3 linked regions of the Arabidopsis thaliana genome follow. The protein of the gene in region 1 purifies or fractionates together with the protein of each later gene. This does not show direct contact. Each region holds a gene or a part of one and is shown in the gene's direction. Other genes may lie near its edges.

Region 1 (13,050 bases):
GAACGAAGACAAATATCACAAGGCTTATTCAAACTAGAAGAAGAAACAGAAGCAGAAACAAACGGAAGCTTTCCCACCACTTGCGTCGACGGATGACCCATCCGATTATGCCACAACTCAAATGACTTGATTTCCTTTGTTGCGGCTGAAGCTGCGATCTTTGTACTACGAAAGTGAAAGGTACCACCCACTCTTTTACCACACCCAATCACCATCCTCGAAATGCGGTCCTGAACCACGAGAAACCGATCAGCCAACTGAACAACACACTTGTTTTCATCCATTAACTGCCCCAAAGACATCAAATCAGTTTTCAACTCTTCAACATAGTAAACAGATTTCATTACCAAATGACTACCAAGACTAATAGAACCTTCTTTGTAAGAAACTTGCTCTCTACCGTCTGCCATAATGATCAAAACAGGGGGCATTTCTCGCACATTTGTTAAGGTCTCAAACCTTCCAGTTAAATGATGTGACGCCCCTGTATCCATAATCCAAGGAGAGAGAGAAGACATACTCGTTTGTTGTTCAGTTGAAGGTTGTTTTCCCGCATTGAGAATTGATTTTATCATTTTCCACTGGGTATCATTCAGTCCATGAGCTCCAGATCGGTCGTCGTCTGTGAGAACATGATTAGCTTGTTCAGTTGTCACGTTTTCCACATTCGGCACATAAACCCGATTAGCAACCTCTTGGGAGGCTCCGCGTCCCCTGCCACCACGAGACGTACTGCCACCACGTCCCTTCCCTTGTAGAGTACGACCCTTGGGTCTATCACCCCACCACTCTGGATACCCGATGACAGCATAGCACCGCTCTGCAGTGTGACCAGATCGATTACACAGTTTGCAGAAGAAACTTTTCTCCTTTTCGTCAGTTGGAAGACGTGGTTTGGATTGCACCGCAAAAGCTGTCATTGACGGTGACTCTTCTACGGGAACACGCAAGTCCTCTTCCTGACGAATGATGTTGTACACCTCTTCAAGTGGTTGAATGGGAGTCCGAGCCACTAGAGTTGATCGGACCGCCCGAAACTGCTCATCAAAACCATTGAGAAATTCATGAGTCTTGTCTTCCTCCCGATCTGCCTCTTGAGCAGCACCAAGATTGCAGGTACACTTACCACAACGACAAACACGCAACGGACGATGTGTGGCGAGGTTATCCCAGATCCTAGTCAACTTGCCAAAGTAAGATTCAATAGCCAAACCTCTCTGTTTGCAGCAAGCTAGCTCAGATTTCAGTTGTTGTAGTCGTGACCCATTCATGACAGAGAACCTCTTTTTCAGATGTTTCCCACAGATCTTGAGCCACATCTCTATGAGAAATGGTGGATCGAAGAGTTGGTTCAATTGTCATTTTGATCCATGACACAAGAAGAGCTTGAATCGTCGTCCAGTCTTCAAAATCAGGGGAAGTCTCTTCTGGTTTGGAAATTGAACCATCGAGAAATCCATACTTTTTCCGTGATATCAACGTGGTTCGAAAACCACAAGCCCACTCTTCATAGTTGCTTCCCTTCAAGAGAGGATGAGAGATTACGGCTCCAGGATTATCAGCAGAAGTCAGGTCATAAGGAGAGATTGTTCTCCTTACTTCAGTCGCAGCGGAGGTGTTGCTTTCAGTTGACATTGTCGAGAAAAAAAAAATCAAGAGTTTTGCTTTTCAGGCTCTGATACCATAAAGGAATACAGAGTTCGACAATGTATATGTGTTATTGATCATCAAGAGAAGCATACAACATATATAGATCGACTATACAACAGACGTCGTGAATCTAGGAAAATCCCTACAGTTGAGAAGATCTAAAAGCTATCCGTAACTATACAATTATCAGCATCTAATAGAGTATATTCTCAGAAAAATAAACCAAGTGTGAACCAAGCCGAACCGGCATAAACCATTCGCAAATAATGTTAAATTCATAAGAAATTTCTCCCAACTTGTGTCGAATCCAACACCTCCACCTAAGAGATTTATCATTGGGTCAACTCTAAGTTGGTTCTTTATTATTTTTAACAAACATACATATATCTCTTATCGATTCAGATTAATCATTGGATATTAAAAGTTCGTCGTGGATTTCTTTCTCTAATTTCTTCCTATAGAGTCATGATACAAGTTACTAAATTACTCCATTATATTTGAACAATCAAAATTGTGTCATGCTTTAGATCCATTAGAAAATCAAGTGAGTGGACTACTCAACACCTACACTTATCTTAGATGTATTAGTCTGGTGGTAAAAATATGGGTTACCCCTTAGTTATAAAAGATAAATAAGTGATGCAAGTTATTTTTCGTATTCCGATTCTTATTAGTTTTCGACCAGATCATGTGGTCCAAAATAATACCTTGAGCATTAGAAAAGTCTCGTAAAATACCACATCAGTATTTCAAAGCTTCAACGTATCTCCTTTTTATTTGTGTCCTTTAGTAAATGAACTTTTTTATGGTAGGGTTTTTTAGTAAATGAACTTACCTCAACAATGCTTTTTTTTTTAGAATCAATGATATTTAAGGGAGAGAGAAAACAAAACAATTTGTGTTAATGTAAACATTCCTACTTGTACTATCAGTAGACCAACATCGTATATTTTACCAAAACAATATATATGACGATAGAAAAACAATGGTAATTAGAAAATATTAAATTTTCCTAATGTAGATATTCTTGCATATAGTAACTACTAACCAGTGTCATTATCCCATCTTGAATCTTGATTTGTCTAGGGGTTAATTTAGAAAATGGGAGAATTTAAGCGGCCAATATGTGAAGATTGATGTAAACTAACCAGTGTCATTGTCCCATCTTGAATCTTGATTTGTCTAGGGAAGAAAAAGGGGTCAATTTAGAAAATGGGAGAAGTTAAGCGGCCAATATGTGAAGATTGATGTAACATTTTCAGCCCCCACCACACACTCAAACCCACAATGGACACATGATGGATAAGATTATAACCCGTTAAGATCTTTTTTTCTCTTTGATCAATCTTCACATGGGTTCTGGTCCTACTTGTATATGAAATGTTACCATACTCTCCTCTTTGTATTATACCCTTCACAAATTTTGTCCATAGGGTTTCCGACAAAAGGGTTTGAATCTGAACTGTTCTGATATTTTTAACCAAGCCTGATAGTGATCGTGATCGCTTGGGATGACCAGTCTGTAGTGGCAGATCCATTTTTGTTACCGGGATCATAATATAACTTTTAAGAGAAAAAAATGTTACTGAATTTGAGTGTAGTGGGGTCATTATATTAATACCAAATTTTACAAATGATGATACTGTTTTTTTTTTTAACAATATTTACATGCAATTAAAAAATATTTAGTTATTCAATCTGAGACGTATCGGCGCTATGCCATTGCTAGTCTATATTTGTTACACCGTTAAACTAGTTACACATTGCTTTTTAGAATATGCAAATGATCAAATGCATGGTTGTTTAAGGTTGGATTTTTATTTTTTTATCCAAAGTTTAAGGTTGTATTTGTGCCCATGATTTGATAGCATACCAAATCGATTGGGTTAACAACTGCTATATATTCTTGCAATATATTTTGTTTATGCATCGTAATGTATAGGGAAGTTATCTGCTAATTAATAATTAGAGTGATTTTTGGAAAACAAAATAGAGACAGAATTAATAAAACCATTTTAAAGAGAGAAAGTTTTGACAAAAAAAAAGCGAGAGAAAGTTTTGATAAATCAACCAAAAATGCATATAACAATGACATGTGATTGCTTTTTAATTTGTTTGTGATTTCTGTACCGATCTCCATGTTCGATTTCATCACTAAATCGGATAAAAGTGTATGTTCTTCTTTAATGTTTTTGCATGAAATATCTTGCAATGCATAAAGACTGAGATTTCTACCATTACAAAAGTGGAAAGAGAACATCTATGTAATATTGGGTCTCTGCATTTGCATTTGGGAACGGTTTTGGCGTTTTCAAATGACAACTCACTCCCACTTATAGTCACTGACACACACAGAAACTTTTAAAAGAACAACCATCACTCCACACACTTATGTGTTCTTCAAATGTTTTATTTATCATTTACTTCAATTATACGCACAAGTTACAACAAGCAAGTTTTTTTGTGCAATATTCTCTTTTATAATCCTGTTTGTCCTATACCAAAACCTAGATTAATCACTGTCAAACCAACATCATAAAATTGTTGGTTAAGTCATATAAACCATTCGTTTCCAATAAGTGCCATAGAAATTGAATATTGAGCATAGTCAGAATATATATTTATGTTTGGTCTGGTTTTGTTTGACAAAGAGAGTATATTCAGGTTTATAATCTAATTATCAAGACAGAGTTATACAGAAGATAGATAAACGATACTAGTGTTACGTTTCTATACAATCTTTTGAAAGTAAACAAAAGAAGCCATGTGGAATCAAAAACATTCGAAGCATGGGAAGATCAAATAATCCAGTGATGGAGCTAGAACGGAACTAAATCAATCATGAAACCTAAATAGTTTTTTAATCTTTCTAGAATCTCTTCTTATCAAAAAATTTCCTTATTTGTATAAAAAGCCTCGGGAAAGTTAACTTCTCATCCCAAACTCATTCCTCAGTTTATCTCTCGACTAGAGAGTGAAGGAAAAATCGAAGGATAATCTGTTTCTTCCAGCACAAGTTAACTTGCAAGGTAGTTTTCTCCCTTCGATTTATACTGTCTTGCTCACTTTCTTAGGCTATTTTTAGGACGATTCATTTTTTTAATTTGTATGTTATTCATCTTTTTAGGGTTCTTGTCACATTTTCGGCCTTAATTTGTATGTGTAAAAATATAAATAGTGAAGTAGATATCATTTTATATCGTCTAGCACTCTAGCTACTAGCTTGATCTGAAACTAGTATATATATAAATTATTTGAATGTCAGCTTTTTTTTGTGAAAGTCACACATCACATGGTAGTTGCATATTTCAAGAACTCAACTGAATTCGATTTAAAATTTCTCCAATCATAATTCATAAAGATATGTATTTCAATTTTTTTAAATAAAAATAGATTTTCCTATTTACCATGAAATTTTTTACTCTTTTTATTTGTTCTCATATAAATAGAGTGATAAACTATTTTACAAAGTTCATTTATGTGGAAATTGATAAAATGACAAGAACATGAAAAAAAGACAAAGATTTTTAGTTGAAATCTGTGATCGATCGAACAGAATCGGTTCAGCTACTGTTTTTGTAATAGAACAACTGTCCATTTTTATACCAAAATGACTAAACCACCCTTAGAAGATGCATGTGTTGTGTGGTACTAAAAACTCAAAAAAGCATTGAAACTTTACACCTTTGTGTCGTTTTCTCAATTTTACCCCCGCTTCATTTGGAATTGTCACTCTCAAAATTGGCGTATTTTCCAGTTCATATCTTCATTCATCTATGGCCCCATAAACCATAACTCTTTGAACCATATTTAATAATGTTACCTGCATGCATATACATTCATATAAAACATGTATTCATTATCATGTTAGATATGTCTAGTCTATTATTTCCCAAAAGAAAGACACCTAAGAGAGCAAGATTCTTGTTATTCATGATAACATTTTTGAAGATTCAAAAAAAATGAGTGATTGATGAATTATTTATGGTCAGCATCTAGTAAAATCATATCGACATATCCAGTCAGCCTTAGTAGAAATGCACCAAAGTGATATAGAGTGGATTTCTCTCGATCCGTGTAGAAATGGACCACCACATTGTCTGTTTAGAATATTATATTTTTTTGTATAAAATTGTAGACATAATCTCTTATTAATAAATATTTAATGCAAGTTAGTTATTTTTAATTTTATGAAAAGAGGTTAACTCCAATATGTACCATACTACTTGAAGAAGTTAAATGACAAAAAAAAATATAAGTAATACTACCATTTCCATATATTGTACTGATATTTCAAACTTTAATCAACTTTCCTTTCTATTTCTCCTTCTTTTTTTATGGTCAAACCCATTCTGTTTATGACTAAACATATGACATATCTAACCGTTATTAATTAGTTCACATATCACATATTTGTATAGTGTTTTCATTTTCAGTAATCAAACCATCCATCTACCACAAAAGAACTTGGTCATGTGTCCATTTTTAGAAATCAATAAAATATTATACCATATATTTATAGTATCTAACTTTAAGAGAATAAATATTTTTATTTGCCGATTCATATACACACACATGCGTGTGGTATCTATGTCTATCCATTAAACTAATTATATATAAACTTATTTTCTGGCCACAATTTTTGTTTCGTGTATAGAGAGAGCTCAAAGATGGAACCAACAGAAAAACCATCGACCAAACCATCTTCTCGGACTCTACCTAGAGACACTCGTGGCTCTCTCGAAGTATTCAACCCGTCAACTCAGCTGACCCGACCCGATAACCCGGTGTTCCGTCCTGAACCACCAGCGTGGCAAAACTTGAGTGATCCACGTGGCACCAGTCCTCAACCCCGACCACAACAAGAACCAGCTCCATCCAACCCTGTTCGGTCTGATCAAGAAATCGCTGTCACGACCTCATGGATGGCTCTGAAAGACCCATCACCGGAGACAATCTCCAAGAAGACGATCACCGCCGAGAAACCACAGAAGTCGGCGGTGGCGGCTGAGCAGAGAGCGGCAGAGTGGGGATTGGTTTTGAAGACCGATACAAAGACGGGAAAGCCACAAGGAGTAGGCGTGAGGAACTCTGGTGGAACTGAGAATGATCCTAACGGGAAAAAGACTACATCGCAGAGAAACTCGCAAAACTCTTGCCGGAGCTCCGGTGAGATGTCGGACGGAGATGTTCCCGGCGGGAGGAGTGGGATTCCAAGAGTATCGGAAGATCTAAAAGATGCGTTGTCGACGTTTCAACAAACGTTTGTGGTCTCAGATGCTACAAAACCTGATTATCCGATTATGTATGCAAGTGCTGGTTTCTTCAATATGACTGGTTACACTTCCAAAGAAGTCGTCGGCAGAAACTGGTAAAAAGTTATTCAAAAAATTTTAGAGCATTTTTTTAATATATAAAATACGTTTCGTTTTCTGTAATAATTACCAAAATTGCAAAGTTTTTTCTAATTAAATATCATAGTTTTGTTTTTAGGTTTATGGTTACTATAAATGTATAAAGATATCTTAAATGACTTAGTAATTCTTTCTAAATTTTCAAAAATTAAACCTAACTTTATTTTATTTTTTTAGAACTTTTCGAAACTGTGTACCAAAATTACAAAGATTAAGTTTTAGGTATGGTTATCCTAAATGATTTAGTAACTCTTACTAAATTTCTAAAAACTTTTTATAAACCTAATTTTTATGTTGTTTTTCCAAACTAATAGCCTTTTATAAACTAAGTTTATTTTTTAATGATAACTTAAAATATTTCTTTTAAATCGAACATTTCTTTGCAAATTCGAAAAATTTCTTACAAAAGTTTCCACCATTTTTTGTTCAATGAATGAATTTTATTTACAAAAAGAAAGAAGAAAAGAACATAATTTGGGTTTTTGTTTTATTGTAGCCGATTTTTACAAGGATCAGGTACAGATGCAGATGAGTTAGCAAAGATAAGAGAGACATTAGCTGCTGGTAACAATTATTGTGGGCGTATATTGAATTACAAGAAAGATGGGACCTCTTTTTGGAATCTTCTCACGATTGCTCCCATTAAAGACGAGAGTGGCAAAGTCCTCAAATTTATCGGGTTAGTCCCTTATTCCTTTTTATTTACTCGTTTCTCTCCTTTATTTCTTTCATTCAAAATGTCACCCTTTTTAATGGGTCTAAGTGTGGACCTGTGATTTGTGTTGCTTTCTCCGCAATAATTCAAAGATTTGTATCACCGACGGATCCTATTGTAGAATAACAAAAGAGAATAATCAATCAGGAAAAAGAAAAGAATTATAGAATCTGATAAAAAAATATGATTTTGAGGAAAAATCAGAAGATACCAATATGTTTTGTTTATTTGGACCAGAATGCAAGTGGAGGTGAGCAAGCACACTGAAGGGGCCAAAGAAAAGGCTTTGAGGCCCAATGGGCTTCCGGAATCTCTGATTCGATACGATGGTATTTACATACTTTCTTTTTCTATTTGTTTTTCCAAATTTTTTTCCATTTATTATGTTTTCTTAAAAATATTTTCAAATTTTGTTTTGTAAAAGCCCGCCAAAAAGATATGGCGACAAACTCAGTGACAGAGCTAGTAGAGGCGGTGAAGAGACCTCGGGCACTAAGCGAATCGACGAATCTCCATCCCTTCATGACAAAATCGGAGAGCGATGAACTTCCGAAAAAACCAGCTCGGCGAATGTCCGAAAATGTTGTTCCGTCAGGCCGAAGAAACTCTGGCGGCGGAAGAAGAAACTCGATGCAGCGAATCAACGAAATTCCCGAGAAAAAATCTAGAAAATCTTCCCTTTCCTTCATGGGGTAATAATCCTTACTAGATCATTTGTTTACCTGACAATTACTTTATAAAAATCGATTTAGTCTTTGATATGATTGTTGTGATACTCTGGTGATAGGATCAAGAAGAAGAGCGAATCTTTGGATGAATCTATAGACGATGGATTTATAGAGTATGGAGAAGAAGACGATGAGATTAGTGATAGGGACGAGAGACCTGAGAGTGTGGATGATAAAGTGAGACAAAAGGAAATGAGAAAGGGTATTGATCTAGCTACTACACTCGAACGTATCGAGAAGAATTTCGTCATCACTGATCCTAGGCTTCCCGATAATCCCATTGTAAGAACAAATGTTTTAGAAAAATGGAAACTTTTTTTGTTATGTTTCATTTCGATTGGTCTGAAAACGTATTGTTTGCTTTGTCCTATGTTTCTAGATTTTTGCATCTGATAGTTTCTTGGAGCTCACGGAATATAGCCGTGAAGAAATTCTTGGAAGAAATTGCAGGTATTACATGAATGTGATCTCAAAATGTCTTTTGAAAATATTTTTGAGCATAGAGCATGTGTTTATAAATTTTGTTTCATGGTTTTAGGTTTCTACAAGGTCCAGAGACTGATCTAACCACAGTGAAGAAGATTCGAAATGCTATTGATAACCAAACCGAAGTGACAGTTCAGCTCATCAACTACACCAAGAGCGGTACTCGATTTTTTCGATATTCTTAGATTAATCTGTCGATCATTGTATAAAGTTTTAAATTTACATTATATTCTCTGTGGCAGGAAAGAAGTTCTGGAACATTTTCCACTTGCAACCTATGCGTGATCAGAAGGTATAATGGTTTACATAGATATCTTGCATTATACGGCACCTTCAAACTAATCCTCAATTTCTTTTGGTTTATGAATTTAAAACTGAAGATGTCTATATTCTTTCTTTGATATGTTGTTGACAGGGAGAAGTACAATACTTTATTGGAGTTCAACTAGACGGGAGCAAGCACGTAGAACCAGTTCGCAATGTCATTGAAGAAACCGCAGTGAAAGAGGGAGAAGACCTGGTCTGGAATCCTAAACTATTGATCTTGATTTAGTATTCGTTTGATAGAAAATCAAGTATTAAACCTTAATCTATATTCTTTAGGTGAAAAAAACAGCTGTGAATATCGATGAAGCGGTTCGAGAACTTCCTGATGCCAACATGGTAAGTGATTGTCTAAGGATCTGAATATGATCATTTTAGATTAAGGTTTATTAGAATATATCTGACAGAATGTTTTATTGTGTCTTGTTTCTGAAGACACCAGAGGATTTATGGGCAAACCACTCAAAGGTTGTTCATTGTAAGCCTCACAGGAAAGATTCACCACCATGGATAGCTATCCAAAAGGTGTTGGAAAGTGGTGAACCGATTGGTTTGAAGCATTTCAAACCGGTGAAACCTTTGGGTTCTGGTGACACAGGAAGGTCTGAAACTCTATCTAATCTAATGAAATAGCTTACAAAAAAAAAGAACATTTCCTTCATTAATCTTATAATATCCCATTTGTGTTTTATCAGTGTGCATCTAGTGGAACTCGTTGGAACAGATCAGTTGTTTGCAATGAAAGCAATGGACAAGGCTGTTATGCTTAACCGAAACAAAGTAATTACAGTAACTTGCACTTCAAGGAATCTTGAGTTTCGCTTTTTATTTGTAAGTTTTGTAGCCACTGATATAATTTTTTGCAGGTACATAGAGCTAGAGCTGAGAGAGAGATCCTAGATTTGCTTGACCATCCTTTTCTTCCTGCACTCTACGCTTCTTTTCAGGTCAAAACCTCTGTTTACACATATATATATATATATATATATATATATATATATGCGTGTCTCTTTGGTCTTTGGTTACTAATGGATCATGTTTTATTCTGCAGACAAAAACACATATATGTCTTATAACAGATTACTATCCAGGAGGAGAACTCTTCATGCTCCTAGATCGACAACCTAGGAAGGTTCTCAAAGAAGATGCTGTAAGGTACAAGTGTTCCTCGCTCGAAAAAGTCTCAAGATTTCTTCACTTAAATATTGAACTAACAAAAACCCTGCATGAACTTTCAGATTCTATGCTGCTCAAGTTGTCGTTGCACTCGAGTATCTTCACTGTCAAGGCAATCCATTCAACCTCTTCTTTAATTACAAAGAAAATTTTGGATGCAAGGAATCTTGACATGATACTAAGTTGATCTTTGTAATTTTTCTTAAATTCAGGAATAATTTACCGAGACTTGAAACCGGAAAACGTTTTAATCCAAGGCAATGGCGATATCTCTTTGTCGGATTTTGATCTGTCTTGCTTGACATCTTGCAAACCTCAGGTTTGATTTCTCTCAACCTTTCCCTTCAGATTGTTTCCACTTCTACTAGAGAGTTTGCTCATGTATACTAATTAAGGGTGATTAATGAATCTTGTAGCTGTTGATTCCGAGTATAGACGAGAAGAAGAAGAAAAAGCAACAAAAGAGTCAACAAACTCCAATCTTCATGGCTGAACCAATGCGTGCATCAAACTCATTTGTTGGCACTGAAGAGTACATTGCTCCGGTTAGTATATTATATATACCAATTTAAGTACAGTGATTAAGGTATTTACCATTGTCTTAACCAGTAGTTGATGTCTCATATGGATAGGAAATTATATCCGGAGCAGGACATACGAGTGCAGTAGACTGGTGGGCTCTTGGTATACTTATGTATGAAATGTTATACGGATACACTCCTTTTAGAGGAAAAACAAGACAGAAGACTTTCACCAATGTTCTTCAAAAAGATCTCAAGTTTCCAGCTAGCATTCCTGTAATGGATCAATCACTATATTTCTATAAACTAATCTCATGCATAAAAATCGAGGATCATATTTAATTGTTCTGTTATTGGTTTGCAGGCAAGTCTTCAAGTGAAACAGCTGATTTTTAGGCTGTTACAACGAGATCCGAAGAAAAGACTAGGTTGTTTTGAAGGAGCAAATGAAGTCAAGCAACATTCTTTCTTCAAAGGCATAAATTGGGCTCTGATTCGATGCACGGTATAACTTCACACATTCTCTTTACTTGGTATATAAGAAACATTTCGGTTTTACTTGTGAAAGAAGAAAACTAATCATCTTATGAGATTATTTTGATATGCAGAACCCTCCAGAGCTCGAGACTCCGATATTTTCTGGTGAAGCTGAAAACGGAGAGAAAGTTGTTGATCCTGAGCTAGAAGATCTGCAAACAAATGTTTTTTGAGATTTGGACTAAACGTTTATCGTTTTCTTTTCAAGAATTGTTTGAAACTCTTTGTTCTCCAAAAATCTCGTTTTTAATTATTTTCATTTTACCATTATCTTTATTTATTTATAATGCCAAGTGTTTCTAATAATTTGTGTGAGTTTCTTAAGAATATGTTTTTTATATATGTCAATAAAATTAATCAAGTTTTGCATATGTTTTTGTTTGTTTCATTAATCAAGTTATTATAATGCGAATTCATGTGATTAAATTGGTAAAGTTAAACAAAGAATTGATATTTTTCATAATTTAGTTGAAGGCTACAAAAGACAATGGAAACCATAAAAAAAAAAGTTCAAATCAGAATTAAGGCTTGAATTGGGTACAAACCAGAATGATTATGATAGAGTAGATTAGATCCATGTTTCTTTGAATCTTTTAAGTGTTCTTGTTCTGTTTGTGTTTCAGAAAACTATAACTTTGTGGAGGACTAATTACTCACAGCAACACCGTTTCTGCTGCATCCTATGTGTGTGTTTTAGTAGTTATTGTGTTACTTAGTAAGAAATGCTCATTTGATTCATTCACATTGCGTCAAGTGATCTGCTCTGTGATTGTTCTTGACATTTTCAGTATGTATGGCTGGCCAAATCTGAGAGCTTTTCATGTCTAAATTAGTTTCTCGAGCTCTTTTTCTTTTGTGATGGTTTCAGTCTTTTCTTTTATAGGTTTCTTCAGCTATAATGCTTGAGGAGGGAATAAAGTATCATCTACTATGGGCGGGTCAGAAGGAGCTAGCAATCTCTATTCCAAGATTCCAGCGATGTACAGATACAAAACATGCAAGCTGTCAGAGGGAAGGGTGTGAAAACTGGTCAGTTAATAGGTGAATTTTGATGTAGAATTGAAACAGTGACTACTTATAGGAGCTGTATATGCTAATCTTGTGATAAATATTCAGTGACAACTTATGACCCAAAAAGTGGGTTAGTTTGTGAATTGAAACAATGACAACTTGAAACTGCAATTGCAAACTAATAATGAAAGTTATAAAGTCTCTTATCATTTACCAAAACTTCCAGAAACACATACCAAATAGAGAGTTGGATACTTCATCTTACAACTTAAAACTAATAAACAAAACCGTTACTAAACAATTATAGATCCACATTGCAAAAAGGGGTGGTTCAAGAGTGCACCAATCCCCCACCTTGAAGCAGGGTCCCTTTTTAAACATCTGCTGAGAAAATGCTGTGCTTCTTCAGATAACCAATCCGGTATATAAGGAATGTAACAGCTTTGACCGATGAGAATGTCCCAATCTACAGAACCGAGATCACTATG
Region 2 (9,162 bases), on another chromosome or scaffold:
CTCCGGCGGATAATGCAATTGATATCTACGACGGAGATACTACGGAGAATGAGGAGGAGGATTCACTGATTTCTTCCGCGGAGTGTCGGATTTGTCAGGATGAATGTGATATTAAGAATCTTGAGAGTCCTTGTGCTTGCAATGGCAGCTTAAAGGTAGTTTTTTCCTTCATTGTTTCATGATCACTATAGGAACCTATAGTTAGTTATCAAGAGAACATTTGAGTATTGACTTTTAAGTTTTACGTTGTGATCAGTATGCTCACAGAAAATGTGTTCAACGTTGGTGTAATGAAAAGGGAAACACTATATGCGAAATCTGTCATCAGGTATATACATTCTTTCTCTTGATACTAATGATGTATGATTTGTAGAGGATGCAGCTCAAATTAAACTTTCTCTTATTCCAGCCATACCAAGCTGGATATACCTCTCCACCACCACCACCACAATCTGAAGAAACTACTATTGACATTGGGTATGATCATTTTCATTATTCTGTTTCTGTCATACACTTTAGGTTTGGTTTCATGACTTGTAATTGTTCTGACTTATTTGTCTGTTTTTTAGTGGAGGATGGAGAATCTCGGGTTTGGATTTAGATGATCCACGTCTCTTGGCAATAGCAGAAGCTGAACGTCAGATTTTAGAATCAGAATATGATGATTATACAGCTTCAGATACCAGTGGAGCTGCATTTTTCCGCTCTGCTGCTTTAATAGTAAGTCTAAAGCTCCTCAACAAGTTTCAATTACTCCCGAGTATTTTTACTAATTTCTCTTCTCTTTTGCAGTTGATGACTCTTCTTCTATTGCGACATGCACTGACTATACCAGATTATTCAGATAGTGAAGATGATGATCCTTCTTCAATACTTTCTGTAAGTTACTACTTCTTCCTTTTTTCCAGCATATACTGGAAAAGTTTCGTATAAGTTCTAACTCCAAACCACAAAATCATCTTGCAGCTTTTCTTACTCCGAGCTGCCAGTTTTCTTCTTCCTTGCTACATCATGGCATCAGCCATCAGTATCCTGCATCGCCGTAGACAGAGACAGGAAGCAGCGGACTTGGCCACTCGGTTTGCGTTGGTGCTCAGCTCGCGCCAACCTAGACCCGTGATTAATTATTTGTCAATGGAGCCATGATTTTATAGTTCCACTCTAAGAGTTTCAGGTGTATATGCTTTTCAAATATTTCATCAGAAAAAAGATTCATGAACTGCTGTTAAAAGAGTGGTTTACAGTAAGTAGAAAGAAGAATCTCTTCTTCTTCTTCTCACTTCTTGCAAAGCTATTGAAACTATCTTTTCTGATGAAATCATTGAATCATATGTGGTGTTAATCAAGATTTGGTAGCAACAAGAACCATCACAAGATCTACATGATGGTCCTTCTGAATCAGCTTTCTTACAAACAAGGAGTGTCCTAACTTAGTGCAGAGTTTTTTTTTTTACAAGTATTCGATTCTAAGAAAGATTGTGTATGTAGATTAAAGAGTTTCTGATTCTGTAGCATTAAGATTTTCAATAACACTTGATTGAGAGATGAGCATTTCACTTTTTAGGTAAAGAAAAACGAGACACATAATTTGTAATCTGTGTAAATAAATTTGTTTTTTGTTCCAAAAAGATTCATCTCTACCATATTAGTTCATACATTACTGTCATGATGTTGTAATAAAGATAACTCTACCAAAACCCAAATTGCATTAAGTATGAAATCTGTTCTCGAATACAAAATATCTTACTAACATCGAGCACATAATGAAGCTTTTTGATGTTAAATGCGGACAGCACAAAGAGCATGGCTCAGAGCTAGTTTGCCTGCAATAGCTCCTTAATGTCATACCCTTGGATCTACAAAAAACAACAGAGACAAAACAAACATAAGCTAAGAGTTGATATGTTATTTTGACATTGTAGTGATCATAGGAATGAGTTTTCTACCTGAAGAAAAGTGAGTAGCAAAATAACTCCCGAGTTCCAGAAACCGTGTATGACCATTGGGGTAATGAGATTGCGGGTTTGTGCATATGATAATCCCAAAACACTTCCTAAACCAAAAGATACTTATTGTTCATCCAGAAATGTTCATAACCATGAGAAAATGCAAATGGTTTTGTTTTTAGTTATGTTTTACCTAGAATAAACAGCTGCGGGAATTCACCAGGTGTGAAATGGGCAAGGGCAAACGCAGCTGAGCTGATGATGATCGCTATTGGGGTCGGGACCCTGAAATACAGAACGTAACAAAATGTAGTAAGCTTTTGTCCAGAACCAAATGAGAAAAAAGAACAGAGGTTTTACCATTTGGTAAGAGAGACCATGAAGAATCCGCGAAACACGGTCTCCTCCAGAAGTGGAGCAAGGATTCCAGTTATGCCCACTAAGCTTAAGGTGCTGTATTATGTGCAATGTGTGATCAAATTCTAGTATTAACGCACATCGCAGTTTCTATTTCTTTGAGGAAATACCTTATGTTTGAGGATCCAATTAATGGAAGAAGCTTCATCAAAGAGTCTACCTGAAAACATCACACTAGGCCTCATTACTATTATCCAACAAATATTTCGAAAACAAAACATAAAGCATGGTTTTGAATTCTCCTAACCTCCCTTTCAGGTGCTTCTGTCCTGAACACGGATAAAACAACACCTGTTAACGCAATAGCACCAACAGCACCAACCAGACCGATTCCACCCCACACAAGCCATCCTTTTTGCAGGTTGACGGGTTGTCTCAAATCTGACGATCGAACAAACAGTCAACTACCAATAAAAGAGCAAACCATGCTGATAGAAAAAAAAAAAAAAAAAAAAAAAACGTACCATAGCGAAGAATATCTTCAGGAAGTGGGTCGAAGGTTTTGGCAACAGTGAATATGACAGCAAGTACCACCGCGGTTGTTAGGCTGCCAAATATTTAGACAATGTTATTCAACATAAGCCAAACCTCAAGAGAGATAACTAATTTTACAATGTGAAATCAGCTAAAGCAACGAGATTATATAATGAGTTTACATTAACAGAGTAAAAAAGAGCAAAGAATACACAAAAGAGTAGTATTTTTTTGGTTACCCTTGATCCAGGAACAAAATCTCCGCCTTATCGTCCAAGGTCAGTTTCTCAACGTCGATTCCTAAAAACGGTATGACTGCCATCTCGGTTAATCCTGTCAAAACAAAACTGCCTGGGAACAAAATTAATCTCACTCCATGCATTACACAGAGAATAGTCACTGAACATTAAACTATTTAACCATAACAGAGAGATTATCTTTCAGATCAGTCTACTCAACCATCACATTTATCTTAGCACACAGTCTATGTACTTTCATCAAACTCCAACCCTAAAGTCATCAAAAGGGAAAGCTTTTGATGAGAGTACCTTAGTGCACAAGCAAACGAAGTTAACGAAACTGTCTGCCATCCCCATGGAACTTCCCATCTCTGAAGTATCGGCCACTCTGAGCTACCTCCTTGTAACTACAACAAATATAACAATCAAAACTTCAAATAATTTCTCAAAGGTCTAGTCTTTTTTCACATTCCAATAGAATTTGGATTCAATTGAACAAGTTACATAGAGCTGCCTCAGAAAAATTCAGACCGGAAACTAAACAAGAATCTAATTTAGATAGAGTCAGTGAGACAGTAACCTTTCCCTCTCCTCCAGGTTCCTTTCCAGAGTTGAAAATGCAGGCCGATCTCCATTTCTTCCGATTAACCGTAAATAACCGGCGGCTAGCAAATCCTGGAGAAAACCGGCTCAAACCGCCGTAAGTACAAGTCTTCGGAAGAATTAACCTCCTTGAATCGGATAAACATAGAAGAGACGAAGATTGAGATAAACACGAGATTATCTGAGAAACCATTTTGAAATTTTCTGTTGTTCTTAGAGAACTTCCACACATGAACCAACACGATTATCAGATTGAGGAAGAGGATAAGATCCGACTAAAACGAGCGGGTAGAAAAAAACCGTTACTTACTTAAAATAACGTTGTTTAAGGCCCATTTATGTCAGTATAGGCCCAAAGCCCATTAACGACCAACTAACTCGACGACAAGTCTTTGTCAGTATATCACAAAATACGTACATCCCTCGTGTCTTCTAATTTGTAATTTTGTTCCTTGGGAGAATCATGTCCACTATTTTTCTTTTTTCATTTTCCTTATAACCAAGACAAAATATAATTAATATTTTGTTTATACATTAGCACAAAATCACTGGCAAATAGGCAGTCTTGTCCCAGTAATGGAACCCACACGACATAGCTTCAAAAAAAAAACAAGGAACTTCCTCATTTCTTCTATTTATATTACTCAAATCTAAATCATCCCTAAGAAATAGTAATACACAAAAAGAAACAAAATGGTGACCTTAACTTCATCTTCTTCAACTCCAAACGTATCTTTTGATTTCATGATGAACAATAATAATAACAGTAACAATCTCTATGGTCCTTTCTCTTCTTCTTCTACTTCTTTCTCTTACTTGACAAGCAAGGAAGATGCTCTCACCCAGAAGAACCTAATGAGTGGTATCACCAATGATGTTCTTGGAATTAACAAGAAAGCTTCTGAAGATTTGGAGATCAGTGTGTTTGGAGCTGAGAAGTACTTCAATGGAGATATGGATTCTGACCACAGTCCTAGACTTGTGTCTCCTCTGCCAGATCCAGAAGTTCCAATAGAGAGAATCTTTGTTGGTCCGAAGCAAAGCTCGAAGAATTCCTCGGAAACTCCTAGTCTTCGGTCTGAATCCAGTTGGAATAGCCAGAGTTTGTTGCTTCAGAGCAAATATGTAGAGAAGAAGAAGAACATCAAGAAAAACTCTAGTTGCAACAGTTACTTTCAGGAGAAGGATATGAGTAGCAATCACAAGGTGAGTAATAAGAAGAGTTTTCTCGCTACTCTTGGCTGCAGATGCGTGTGTTCGAACTGGAGTTCAGTGGATGTCGTCGACGACAAGAGAAGAAGCTCTGGTCTGAAGAAGATCAAGACTCAATTGAGTTTCTCTGGAGATCTAAGCTCGGAGATGAAGATTCATCAACAACAACAAGAAGCAATGCTAGAGCAGAGGAAGTCTCTGGAAATATTTGGATCTCCTCTTATTGAGAAGAGAATCATTCAGAAGAAATTTCCATGGGAATACTCGAGCTCTGCGAAAAAAGAAGAACATGGATTCTCTGTGAAGTATGAAGAAGAAGAAGATGGGAGTGTGAGCGATGTAAGTACGGATCTTTTTGAGATTGAGAGCTTAACAGGGAAGGCAAACCCTTTTCTTGCAAGGCAAGGAAGTAGTGATCCAGACTCACCAGATGGTTATGCACCAAGTGAGGTAAGCATACAATGGAGTGTAGTGACAGCAAGTGTAGCAGATTTCTCTGTTATGTCTGAATGTGCTACGAGTCCCGTCAAAAAGAACCGGTCTTTTCAGATTCCTCGAATCCCTATCATGGCAAAATCAAACCGAGAAATCGCGCCTCAGAGACGGAAATCTAGCAGTAGCGGTTTATTAATGGGATGCAAGAGTCATAAATCTGTCAGAGTTTCTGGTGATTCATACACAAGCATGAACAGAACACCGAGCTATGTTCCAAGATTCCCTGTAGAAGCTAATCCAACAAGCACTGAAACAAGAAGGAGGATCAGCAGTAGTTCTGTTTCTCACACGCAATCGCCTTTTTTGTATACTTAATTATGCCAAAAACCTGAGCTCCTTTCGTTTTACATGTAAAATGTCTATTGAGTGGAAAATATTTGATTTGCTAATACCATCTTCATATTGTTGTACCTGAAAACAGTAGTTTTTGATTTAACTGGTTTATTAAGGAAGAATGTCGATAGAGAAGTGTAAATCAATCTGTATCATCAATCAATACTTATCTGCTGACCACAAATGAGTAAAAGATGAAATGTGATGCCAAGAACTCATCTATTGTTGCCAGAGATTATAAGGAACTGCACCATGTGAACAATAGACACTTGGGTCTAATCCGCAAATAAGACATAACCAAGAGTGCAATTCCATGTGAAATATTAAGATGTGATTGTAACCTTTTGTTGACTTAGGAGACATAATTAAATGCAGCACGTAGACTAGACACAAAACACATTTGGTCCACCTCATTTTCATGTGCTTGTCTCAAGAATAGAAAGATAACCTCATTAGGCTTAGATTTAACGGTTTAATCAAAGACCGTACGAGTTGCCTAAAAGAGCCTTTAATGAGGAAACTCAATCAAACAATGATAGTGTCCTTTCACCTAACATGTCTTAAAAGCCACTCCAGAGTCTTCTGGTCCAGAACTCATCTCCAGTGTCAAGACCATGTGATGATAATGAGATAAAGTAGACGTCGACAAAACCTTAATTGTGTCATTGATGATGATATGTCTCTGTAACCAACTCAGGAGGAATGTTAGGTTTTGGGAAAAAGATTGATTTGTCATACAGTTTAAAGTTTTAGTTCAAGATTCAGATCTTACAGCTGGATCTAATCAAGAAACAACCTTTTGATATTAAACCCAATCAACCATGTCACAAAGTATCAATAGATCTTGAAGATAAGTATTGTATCCTTTTCAAAGGTCCACTTTTGAAATAATTGAACAGTGACTTCATTTAGTCTATGAAACTAACTATATAGAGAAAAACTACCCCGTTGCTGCCATGTTTGGAGAGGATAAGAACAACAAAAGCGAGAAGCCCTTTGCATAAAAGAAAGAATCAACGACTCTGCGTATGTCAATTCGTAACAAAGGAGATCAATGAGACTCTCACAGGTCTCAAAACCTGGAATTATAAAGCAGATAATAATAACAGAGAAGATCTGAAGTTTTGGCTATTACAAGATAAATTTACTGCTGGCTTACACAGAAACATATGCCCGCAGATCGAAAAAAGGATAGATTGGAATTGTATGTACAATTACAAGTACGCAAAGGTTACAGTGGTTCTCTAACGAGCAAAATGATGACTTAGCATTGACAAGAAGCCCCAAAAGAAAGAAAGAGAAATTACTCATCTTTGGATACTTTGATTGGCCGTGTTTCAAATCCTCCATTGGCTCTTTTCTCCAATGAATAAGGCAAGTAAGTGCCGAGAATCCTATCCCACATAACAAAGAATGGCTGCGAGAAGTTGTATTTGGTTCCATAGAGTTGGTGGTGAACATCATGGTAAGCAGAGTTATTACTGAAGAAGATGTGAAATGGATTTCCCGGAAGCCATAGTCCACAATGATCATCTACTGTTTTGATGGTAGCGAAGGAGAAGAAAAAGATGGCTGTTCTTGGGGACATACCAGAGAAGAGGAAAGACAAAGCACCACCAATAGTGTCCAAGAGAAGACCTTCTAGTGGATGGTTGTATAGAGCTCCATACGAATAAGGCACAATAAGGCGATGATGCTGAGAGTGGATGTGCTTGTATAAGAACTTGTTGAGGTGCATATATCGATGAATGAAATATTGCCAAGTGTCAATTACAAGCATAGCGATGATAAACTGCCTAGCCAGAAGTAGAATGGAAAATTGCTGTGTCGTAGCAGCATCTGCATCACTTCCTGTTATCTAAAGAGAACAACCAAATTCCAAACAAAATATTTCAGGTAAACAAGAAACAAATGCTCCAAAATGCTAATATATGAAGCTCTATCAACAAAATATCCAGAGTGTACCATAACATGAGAACTAGAAACCTCAATCAATTTCTTCCAATACAGAGAAACATCACAAGCTCACGACTCTGAAACACACAAATAGTGAGAAATTCCAAGACTATCTATAACGGTCTCCCATGCAAGAGAACAAAACCTTGCACATGTGAATGATGAAGGGTAAAGATTGTATTCCTCTAAGCACTATTAGACAAGGGAATCACAAATCTAGACGTAAAAGCTTTTCTAAAGTAACGCCTTATGTTCAAGAATTTCAAGTGAAACAATCTAGCAAATTCTCTATATAAAACAGCAAGAAGCAGGAGATTCAAGTTTTATTTCATCAAACAATCTCCAGAATCTAAACTATTCTTAATGCAGCCTAAATCTGTAACCTTGATCCAACAGCTTCAGGACAACAAAAGGTGAATTGAAATCAGAAAACCCCTAATTCATTCTCATCGACCTAAGTTCACTAACCACAAAATTAGATTAACAAGAAGCACAAGGAGGACAACAACATTATTAGCATAATCCACAACCAAAATCCTATAACATTCACAAATTTGCCACAATGTTCAAAGAAGGGAGAGAGAGAGAGAGATTCAATACCTTGAAGAGAATAACGGAGATAATAGCCTGAAGAGTCTGTTGAAGAAGAACGCCCTTAACGACGGCAGATTTAGAAACGAGATTCTTCTCATCCTCATCTATCTTCGAATGCAATCTATATTTATCCAAAGATCCTAAGCAAATGTACATCCCTGAATACACCCAATACACCAGAATCGGCACAAATGTCCCCAGAAATTCATCTGAAATCACGAAACTCATCATCTCTAATTCTAATCAATCTCTCCCCCACAACAACTCGAGAATACGAAATCAAACACCGCCAGAAGAAAATCGCATCACTCTTCGCTAAACTACACGAAGGAGAGATTAGATTATAATCTTCTTCTTCCTCGTTGCTTCGGTGTTTTCTTTCGTCGTCGAGAAGAATAGGAGAAGAAAATGCAGAGGAGGAGATGATGAAGAGATCTAACGTGATTTTTCAGGTGGGACCCAACTATTCGGAATTTTCCACGTGGCTTTAAACGAATGGTCAAGGCGCCAACTGGTTTCAATTTTAATGTGTGCTAATTAATTACAATCTCTACATATTAAAAATTTAATATACGAATGGTGAAAATATGATTAGAAACACATGCCAAAAAACATAAAAGTCTAAAAACAAAATCATTGATTTGATTTTGCCTCTCTGTTCTCTTATCTGTACAATTGTGGACACATTTGGTGGCTACCTCGTGGGGTTGGCAATAATGTGGTGTTTATCGTTTATTAATTGATATTTCTATAAAATATGTAAAAAACATTAACTCATTAGTAGTTTAATTAGATCTTCTCTGCTTGATTTCCGATTCAGATTCAAAACAATTAGAGAAGTAGCAAAAAATGTGTGTAAGAATACACAAATATATTGTCTAACGAAGATAACA
Region 3 (9,800 bases), on another chromosome or scaffold:
ATCCATAACCCACCTGCATCATAAATTCAGGAGACACACATTAAATGCAACTGAAAAATACTATACATATAAAAAACAAATGGAATGTCGATACTACACATTTATAAACCTAAATACCAATTATCATTTGACTATTTTAAACAAACAAATATAGATTTTGCAAATTTTCTGATAAAAAAATGGAGTTAAAACACAATCAAGATCCTAATATGACATAACAAAAAACTTCTTAAAAGAACTTCATTACTTACACGAGCAATGCTTGTTTTGGCTCCAAACTTGGTACAAAAACAAGATCAACACTTCTTCAACAGCAATGTACGTTCTTAATTTTTTATTAATTATTATCAATAATTTTTTTAATATTATTTGATGTAATGATGATTTTGCATTAATTGTGACAATAGTCACATCTAAACTTTTTTGGGGCATTAAATGTTGATGTCACTTCGGAATAATGAAAATAATCTCACTTGTAACGGAACCGAATCGCGTCAACGTGAAACAAAAAATCTTCAACTGAATCGGAACAGTGTACGTAACTAAACCTGCTAAACTAAACCGTACATTTCAACAGTTACTAAGAGAGAAGCGCAAGGGCAGAAACGTCATTTTGCAGGCGAAAAGACAAATGGTGAAAACCACATTTGACTTTAACAATCCATGGAAATAAAACATGGTCAACGGGTGTGGCCTGCAATTTACCCTTATATAAACACTAATATATATATCTAGGCTAGTACAGTTTTTCCTCTACGACATTTACAAATCTTTTTTTTTCTTTTTCTTAAAACTCTCATTAAAAAAACAATGATAAATCAAACATGCTTCGTTCCGGCTTAATTACTGCTCTTCCCCATCTCAAGCGCATTCCCATACTCCCATCCTCTACAAACCTTGACCAATACCAGTGTGACCTCCACACTTGACCCATCTCCTCAATCGGAATACCTTTCGTCTCCGGCAAGAATCTTTAATGGGTCGGATTTGTAGATTTACGGTTTAATGGGTCGGATCTAGATAGTTTTAATCAATCTTTTTATAACATTACCGTTGGATAATATAAGTAAGAATATACTGTAGCATAGATACTGATGATTTTATGTGAGGCTTTCATTGACTTAAGAGCCACGTAACCCAATAAAAATGGGTCAAGCCCAAATGCGGTTCATTTGATATGTGAATGAATGATATTAAAACCAAATTCTATCGTGAACTATCTTTACAAAACAATCACTTTCTCTCTCGCTCTCTCTGTTTCTTGACTCTCTTCTTCATTAGTCTCCATTGATCTTGAAACACCATTGATAGAGTCATGAAGTTTGTGGTCGAGATTCTGGGTGGTTCATCGTTCGAGATTGAAGTGGAACGCACAGATACATTGTTAGTGGTCAAACAGAAGATCGAGAAGTCTCAACGTGTCCCAGTTTCGAAACAAACCCTTATCGTCGACGGCATTTTTATTCTTCGAGAAGATCTTAACCTCGACCAATGCCAGATCTTCCACGATTCTCAAATCCAACTCGAAGTCTCTCCTGACGTGAACCCTATTCACAACAACGACGATCAAATCCCGCAAACAGAGCAATCTCCTCCAGCACCGTGGATTTCAGTTGAAGAGTACTTTGCGGAGCAAGATTGGCCTTTGACAGAGGAAGAGATCAGAAAGATTTACAGTTATCGGCCTGAGACAACCCAAGACATCAGTAAGATTCAAGATGCGCATCAAACAGAGGAATCTCCACCGTCAAACTCAGTCAAAGAGACCGTTAACATTCAAGATTCGTCTGTGAAGTTTGCGAGTAAGAACAACAACGATCAAGTGCCTCCAACGAAGCAATTTCCACAGTCAAACTTAGTCAAAAAGATCACTAACGGAAAAAAAAGAGTCCGGCAGATGCTAGTATATGTGTCGCCATATCCTGGTATGAATGAAGTCCCAACGAATATTCTGGTGCAAGTGAAAGTTACGGATGAGGTGAAAACACTGAGAGGTCTTATGAAACTGGCTCAAGAAGGGTACATCTTTACGCACAATAATCAAGTATTGAACGAAGATCAGTCATACGAGTGTAACAGTGTTAAACCCTTGGATACAATTGTGATTGTTCCCAGACGTGTTATCCAAGAGACCAGTAAGATTCAAGATTCGTCTGTGACGGTTCAAGTGCCTCAAATGGAGCAATCTCCAGCGTCAAACTCAGTCAAAGAGATCACTGACCCGAAGAAGAAGATTAAAGTATATGTGGTGGCAGCTTCAAGTGAGTGTAAAGGTCTGAAGAGATTTATTGAGGTGGATGTGAACTCGACGGATCAAGTGAAAATACTGAGAACCGAGTTGGTTGAAAGTGGTCGGAGGGGTCATATAAGAATGCCTCACGAAGGATATTTCTTTGTGGACAGAAAGAAAGAGAGAGTATTGAACGAAGATCAGTCATTCGAGTGGAACCGTGTTCTTCCAGCCGAAACAGTTTATATGGTTAGTGGACGTGATACACATTTTGCCTCGTCTTTTACTCGTGGCTCTAAAGTCACAATGCTTTGTGCTCAAAAAGTTCTGTAGAAAGTCTGTATATATGACACAGAAGAAACCAAAAACTATGATACATTCAGCAACAGAAAGTTATGTGGATCTTTAACTCTTTGCTAATAGGTTTTAATCTTTCTTCAAGTTTTCTTCTGGCCCTTAAGTCACAATGCTTTGAAATTTTTGAGTATATGTAGATACATAGAAGAAACAAAACTATGATACATTTAGTAACAGAAATTTATGTGGATTTTATCCTATTTGTAGGTGTAACTCTTTTCTTCTAGGTTTTAATATTTTTCTTCAAGTAAACTTGTTGTTATTGAATTCCCTTTAGTCGAAAGCAGCGATCAAGCTTCTCTTATAAGTTACAAACCCTAATTTCAGCAAACACAACTTGGAAACACTAGCAGCAACAACTTTGTTATTTTAAAACATTAGCAAAAGAAATCTCATTGCAACATCAAATGGCAAAACTGGAAGGTAAAAAAAGCAGAACTTATCAAACAAGACTACCAATATGATGAACTGATGATTTTTTTTTTTTTTTTTTTGGCTCAACAACAAACTTTCCATTCACCCATTTATGGATACACAGTCTAGCTCAACAGAGCTTTTAACCCAAATTGGTACAATAGAATACAACTTTAGATCATAATTCTCAAAAGAAAGAGATTCCTTAGCTATTCTATCTGCCACTCCATTTCCTTCTCGGCTTGTATGCACAAGCATAAAATCCTCAAACTTGCTAAGTAGATACTTTATGTCTTGGATAATTGGATTGAGACTTGACAAGCATAACTTTCATGTAACCAAAGACACAAGTTGCTGAGAATCCACCTCAAAAATGATCTTCCTATAATTGAATCGGGATAATGACAGCACAGCCCATCTAAGAGCCTCCACTTCTACTTCCAGCACGCTTCTTACTTTTACCACAGCTCTTGCACCTAACCATAACACCTTCCCTGTATGATCGCGAAGCACCCACCCTAAGCCACATTTTAATCCTTCTGTTGGCCATGCCCCATCAAAGTTGCACTTAACCCAAGATTGTGGTGGAGCTTCCCATGTTTCTCGTCTGTCCCGACGGTGTTGTGGTTGGTGCTTTCCTTACATTCTGAGCCTCTTTCCTTCTAATCCACTCATCTGCATCTTCTTGTGTCCTTACTAATACCTCATTGGTTCCAAATTCCCTCCCTTTAAGCACCAGCTCGTTTCTGTTCTTCCACAGCCTCCCAAGTATCCAAGGGACTAAAGCCTCCACATTCTTCAGATCAGGATATTCTTGTTTAAGATGTTGAACTCTATGGAGGTTTGTATGAACTGATGATCTAGGACCGGATAAGTTCCCTTCTTCATAGCGAACTTATTCAAAGAATGTTTTGTGTATCATTCTTGTTACATTGTTATTAATGAAAAAATATTATTGGTCATTGGACTGAACACGAGTGTTAAATATGGACCAGGCCCCAAATAAGATCCATTGATATATGAATTAAATAACAAGAATAAATCGAGTCACCAAACCACTTGCCTTTTTTAACGAGACTTGTTCACCAACTTGATACAAAAGTCATTATCCTATGCAAATCAATAATCATACAAAAATATCCAATAACACTAAAAAATTAAAAGAAATGGATAATTTCACAATATGTTATACGATAAAGAAGTTACTTTTCCAAGAAATTCACTGATTTTATAAGCCCACTTGCATTAGATAAATGGCAAAAAAAAACAAAAAGGAAAAGAAATAAAGCACGAAGAATTCTAGAAAATACGAAATACGCTTCAATGCAGTGGGACCCACGGTTCAATTATTGCCAATTTTCAGCTCCACCGTATATTTAAAAAATAAAACGATAATGCTAAAAAAATATAAATCGTAACGATCGTTAAATCTCAACGGCTGGATCTTATGACGACCGTTAGAAATTGTGGTTGTCGACGAGTCAGTAATAAACGGCGTCAAAGTGGTTGCAGCCGGCACACACGAGTCGTGTTTATCAACTCAAAGCACAAATACTTTTCCTCAACCTAAAAATAAGGCAATTAGCCAAAAACAACTTTGCGTGTAAACAACGCTCAATACACGTGTCATTTTATTATTAGCTATTGCTTCACCGCCTTAGCTTTCTCGTGACCTAGTCGTCCTCGTCTTTTCTTCTTCTTCTTCTATAAAACAATACCCAAAGAGCTCTTCTTCTTCACAATTCAGATTTCAATTTCTCAAAATCTTAAAAACTTTCTCTCAATTCTCTCTACCGTGATCAAGGTAAATTTCTGTGTTCCTTATTCTCTCAAAATCTTCGATTTTGTTTTCGTTCGATCCCAATTTCGTATATGTTCTTTGGTTTAGATTCTGTTAATCTTAGATCGAAGACGATTTTCTGGGTTTGATCGTTAGATATCATCTTAATTCTCGATTAGGGTTTCATAGATATCATCCGATTTGTTCAAATAATTTGAGTTTTGTCGAATAATTACTCTTCGATTTGTGATTTCTATCTAGATCTGGTGTTAGTTTCTAGTTTGTGCGATCGAATTTGTCGATTAATCTGAGTTTTTCTGATTAACAGATGCAGATCTTTGTTAAGACTCTCACCGGAAAGACAATCACCCTCGAGGTGGAAAGCTCCGACACCATCGACAACGTTAAGGCCAAGATCCAGGATAAGGAGGGCATTCCTCCGGATCAGCAGAGGCTTATTTTCGCCGGCAAGCAGCTAGAGGATGGCCGTACGTTGGCTGATTACAATATCCAGAAGGAATCCACCCTCCACTTGGTCCTCAGGCTCCGTGGTGGTATGCAGATTTTCGTTAAAACCCTAACGGGAAAGACGATTACTCTTGAGGTGGAGAGTTCTGACACCATCGACAACGTCAAGGCCAAGATCCAAGACAAAGAGGGTATTCCTCCGGACCAGCAGAGGCTGATCTTCGCCGGAAAGCAGTTGGAGGATGGCAGAACTCTTGCTGACTACAATATCCAGAAGGAGTCCACCCTTCATCTTGTTCTCAGGCTCCGTGGTGGTATGCAGATTTTCGTTAAGACGTTGACTGGGAAAACTATCACTTTGGAGGTGGAGAGTTCTGACACCATTGATAACGTGAAAGCCAAGATCCAAGACAAAGAGGGTATTCCTCCGGACCAGCAGAGATTGATCTTCGCCGGAAAACAACTTGAAGATGGCAGAACTTTGGCCGACTACAACATTCAGAAGGAGTCCACACTCCACTTGGTCTTGCGTCTGCGTGGAGGTATGCAGATCTTCGTGAAGACTCTCACCGGAAAGACCATCACTTTGGAGGTGGAGAGTTCTGACACCATTGATAACGTGAAAGCCAAGATCCAGGACAAAGAGGGTATCCCACCGGACCAGCAGAGATTGATCTTCGCCGGAAAGCAACTTGAAGATGGAAGAACTTTGGCTGACTACAACATTCAGAAGGAGTCCACACTTCACTTGGTCTTGCGTCTGCGTGGAGGTATGCAGATCTTCGTGAAGACTCTCACCGGAAAGACTATCACTTTGGAGGTAGAGAGCTCTGACACCATTGACAACGTGAAGGCCAAGATCCAGGATAAGGAAGGAATCCCTCCGGACCAGCAGAGGTTGATCTTTGCCGGAAAACAATTGGAGGATGGTCGTACTTTGGCGGATTACAACATCCAGAAGGAGTCGACCCTTCACTTGGTGTTGCGTCTGCGTGGAGGTATGCAGATCTTCGTCAAGACTTTGACCGGAAAGACCATCACCCTTGAAGTGGAAAGCTCCGACACCATTGACAACGTCAAGGCCAAGATCCAGGACAAGGAAGGTATTCCTCCGGACCAGCAGCGTCTCATCTTCGCTGGAAAGCAGCTTGAGGATGGACGTACTTTGGCCGACTACAACATCCAGAAGGAGTCTACTCTTCACTTGGTCCTGCGTCTTCGTGGTGGTTTCTAAATCTCGTCTCTGTTATGCTTAAGAAGTTCAATGTTTCGTTTCATGTAAAACTTTGGTGGTTTGTGTTTTGGGGCCTTGTATAATCCCTGATGAATAAGTGTTCTACTATGTTTCCGTTCCTGTTATCTCTTTCTTTCTAATGACAAGTCGAACTTCTTCTTTATCATCGCTTCGTTTTTATTATCTGTGCTTCTTTTGTTTAATACGCCTGCAAAGTGACTCGACTCTGTTTAGTGCAGTTCTGCGAAACTTGTAAATAGTCCAATTGTTGGCCTCTAGTAATAGATGTAGCGAAAGTGTTGAGCTGTTGGGTTCTAAGGATGGCTTGAACATGTTAATCTTTTAGGTTCTGAGTATGATGAACATTCGTTGTTGCTAAGAAATGCCTGTAATGTCCCACAAATGTAGAAAATGGTTCGTACCTTTGTCCAAGCATTGATATGTCTGATGAGAGGAAACTGCAAGATACTGAGCTTGGTTTAACGAAGGAGAGGCAGTTTCTTCCTTCCAAAGCATTTCATTTGACAATGCCTTGATCATCTTAAGTAGAGTTTCTGTTGTGGAAAGTTTGAAACTTTGAAGAAACGACTCTCAAGTAAATTGATGATCACAAGTGAAAGTGTATGTTACATAAGTGGATATTTCACCCTTTTTCCATCAATCAAAACATCATATAGTAATCCATTGGTTTATACAAACATCAAAATACATTTACCTCTGAAATGAGGAAAAAAATGCAAAGAGATTTTTGAAAATTTCCAACAAATGGAGAGAAAAAAAAAAAACAAAGAATTAAATCAATCAGTACATTTATAAAGGTTATGAGACCTATATGACACTTATTGGTCAAGTGGCAGCCATTCCATTTCTAGCTCTAATTCTCCAGACTCTACATTCTGAAGCTTGATCTGAACCTCCTGTTTCACTTTCCCATCAACAATGTTAATGATACTGTCATCTATTAATGGGTTATCATGCGATTTTAGCCATTTCCCAATCTGCATATCCCCAAACATTTCTGGATCCCCAAAAGCCATTGCAGATGTTATCAAAGGTTGTATATCAATATCTGCTTCTCCCATTATGTCATCAGCAGAAAATGTATCATAATCATACACTTGCTGCAACCACATAAGAAACCGTAAGATATATATATAAGCTTTGGCAATGACTGAAATCGTCAATAGAAAATGAATTTGCTCTTACCAATTTCACAGGGCCATAGCTCTCAGGAACAGACAGCATGAGTTCTTGATTCCATACCGGGTTCAAATTACTATTCATAACAGTTGTCTGAAGTTTCTGAATAAACAAGACAATTTTACTCAAGATTCACAGCATCAACAAGAAGTAAAGCTAATAAAAAGATGCAAAGCAAATCACTTACTTGCTTCCCTAGATTCAACACAACATATGGATCACTTGACATCATGTCTCTGATTGCTAAGTTAGTTCCCTTCTTAATAGTCACCTTCAACAATCCAATAAACTCTACCATTCCTTCCTGAAACTGTCAAATTTACCGATTTCAAAACATGCAAGAAGAAAGGTATAAGAAAGAAAACGTTAACTTATGCAAGTTTGAAGCTTTACCATCGTCTGCGATGATGAATTTGTGCGAAAACTATCCATGATCTTTCTAGAAAGACTTGATGTAAGAAAAGCTGAACTCTTTGTTGAGCCTTTCCCGGATGTAATCCGCAAGCTTGGTTTCAGAAACTCTTGCAGTTCATATTTTGCCCTAAATAAAGATTTTGAGTAAGTCACTATACAAACAACAGCAATAGATTTGTCCTGTCACAGAGTATTTTGTTTTAGAATCTGACCTAATGAATCTCATACGCTGGTCATGATTAACATCAGGTCCAGGCTTAGAGCACGTGTCAGGTAAAAAAGCTTCATAAATTGAATTAGCAGACGCATTTCCTCCAATTTCAATCATGGAATCGACTTCCTCATCTGACCATTCATCTAGTGTCACAGACAAAACCTGGAGAAACCAAACAATGAGTACACAACGAAAGAGATCTAATTTTGTCTTGAGTAATGAAGAAAAGAGACAACAAATGGACAACCAATATGTAATAGAGCAAAGAAGATATATCACCTTTGAAATATGAGTGCCGAGGCTCCTGTGCACACCGCAACATTTTAAGCAAATGAATACTCCGATATTTGCTGATCTGAAAACAAGCTACTAACTGATTATTCAATATAAGAACAAACACAAAGATACATAACTAAAGACACAAGAACATGTAGATGAAGCTCAAATCGCATAATGCGAATAAGTAACTTTCGGTTATGGTAAAGAAATGTGAGACATTCAACTCTATGAGATTAACCCCTAAATGAATAGAGAACATACAGAACCAAACATATTGTATTAGCATAAGATTAGCTATATACTAAATGACATGTTGTTTATCAGCAAAACTACCAAAAGATAAGAAGAAGAAAAAGAGGCTTAGAAGCGATGACTTACGCCCATTTAGGATCAGAAGCGCCACAATCAGCGCAGACTCGGTTATCAGGTTGATTTAAAAGATCTCTGATTCTCCTTTTACCTGTTAAACACACAATGTGGATTGAATCACAACATAATCAGAAACCTTGTGACGCCATTATAACATGAAAAAGTCAAGAAATTTCGCTAAATCTATAGAATCGACCACACACACACACAAAAGAAAGAATCTGTCATTACCTGAGCCAGGCTTACCGAGTCCGGCTGCATAATTGCTCATTGCTCTTCTTTCAAAACCCAACGATCATCAAACAAAATCCTACATTGAGAACAACCCATCACGCACAAATTGTTGTAAATGATCACAACATAAGAAAGTTCCAATTTTTATCATGGAAATCAAATTAAATTTGCGATCAAAACGTGAACATTGTTGAAAACAAAACAAATGGGCCAATCACGAGAAGAATCTCTTTTCATATCAAAAATTAAAAACCTATGTGAATCATCCTTACGTTGTCGGATTCCGACACCGGAGAGGAAAAAAAAACCGACAAAAAAATTTTAAAATTTGACCTTTAACATTCTTAGAGATTGGATGATCTAAATATGAAACAAGAAGATATACAAAAAATTGGAAATGAGAGGGGATTTGGTGTTCTTACAATGTTGCGGAAGGGAGGATAGATAGACGAAGGAAAGAGGTGAATTTACAAGAAAATTGGCAAATGATAATATCTGCAAATGACAACTACGTGCTCACTTTTCTTTTTATCTTATTATTTTTTTCTGCGTTTTTTAAATAAAGAAATTAGAGCAAATTGTTAATTTAAAAAAATCCCAAAAAAAA

What was found.
Region 2: the proteins of PHOT1 (region 1) and PKS2 purify together in Arabidopsis thaliana (affinity purification with western blotting, with the first as the bait; one study listed by BioGRID). This does not show direct contact.
Region 3: the proteins of PHOT1 (region 1) and UBQ10 purify together in Arabidopsis thaliana (affinity purification with western blotting, with the first as the bait; one study listed by BioGRID). This does not show direct contact.

What each region holds. Positions count from the first base shown.
Region 1 is NC_003074.8:16,812,237-16,825,286, forward strand, and holds PHOT1 (phototropin 1), read left to right. Parts: upstream 1-4,484; 5' UTR 4,485-4,679; intron 4,680-6,110; exon of another isoform or gene 6,111-6,307; 5' UTR 6,308-6,320; coding exon 6,321-7,021; intron 7,022-7,560; coding exon 7,561-7,743; intron 7,744-8,016; coding exon 8,017-8,108; intron 8,109-8,203; coding exon 8,204-8,471; intron 8,472-8,566; coding exon 8,567-8,789; intron 8,790-8,886; coding exon 8,887-8,957; intron 8,958-9,045; coding exon 9,046-9,152; intron 9,153-9,235; coding exon 9,236-9,285; intron 9,286-9,408; coding exon 9,409-9,513; intron 9,514-9,596; coding exon 9,597-9,656; intron 9,657-9,752; coding exon 9,753-9,919; intron 9,920-10,012; coding exon 10,013-10,097; intron 10,098-10,183; coding exon 10,184-10,264; intron 10,265-10,368; coding exon 10,369-10,472; intron 10,473-10,555; coding exon 10,556-10,605; intron 10,606-10,705; coding exon 10,706-10,812; intron 10,813-10,909; coding exon 10,910-11,038; intron 11,039-11,125; coding exon 11,126-11,290; and 6 more. Other genes in the region: AT3G45790 (Protein kinase superfamily protein), read right to left, coding at 12,769-12,829, 12,917-13,050. UniProt on the Arabidopsis thaliana protein: Protein kinase that acts as a blue light (BL) photoreceptor in a signal-transduction pathway for photo-induced movements.
Region 2 is NC_003070.9:4,873,285-4,882,446, forward strand, and holds PKS2 (phytochrome kinase substrate 2), read left to right. Parts: upstream 1-4,221; 5' UTR 4,222-4,372; coding exon 4,373-5,701; 3' UTR 5,702-6,023; downstream 6,024-9,162. Other genes in the region: AT1G14260 (RING/FYVE/PHD zinc finger superfamily protein), read left to right, coding at 1-155, 257-328, 410-477, 570-720, 793-879, 967-1,146; AT1G14270 (CAAX amino terminal protease family protein), read right to left, coding at 1,815-1,856, 1,947-2,053, 2,140-2,231, 2,307-2,399, 2,474-2,523, 2,611-2,744, 2,828-2,910, 3,077-3,184 and 2 more; SBH2 (sphingoid base hydroxylase 2), read right to left, coding at 7,023-7,577, 8,276-8,500. UniProt on the Arabidopsis thaliana protein: Acts predominantly in the phot1 pathway. Involved in the leaf positioning and also in the phot2 pathway controlling the leaf flattening. Component of the network that modulates the very low-fluence response (VLFR) branch of phyA signaling.
Region 3 is NC_003075.7:2,713,450-2,723,249, forward strand, and holds UBQ10 (polyubiquitin 10), read left to right. Parts: upstream 1-4,527; 5' UTR 4,528-4,805; intron 4,806-5,093; exon of another isoform or gene 5,094-5,109; coding exon 5,110-6,483; 3' UTR 6,484-6,859; downstream 6,860-9,800. Other genes in the region: AT4G05310 (Ubiquitin-like superfamily protein), read left to right, coding at 1,316-2,563; AGD13 (ARF-GAP domain 13), read right to left, coding at 7,323-7,604, 7,690-7,785, 7,871-7,993, 8,077-8,224, 8,310-8,473, 8,591-8,666, 8,969-9,050, 9,191-9,230. UniProt on the Arabidopsis thaliana protein: Ubiquitin exists either covalently attached to another protein, or free (unanchored).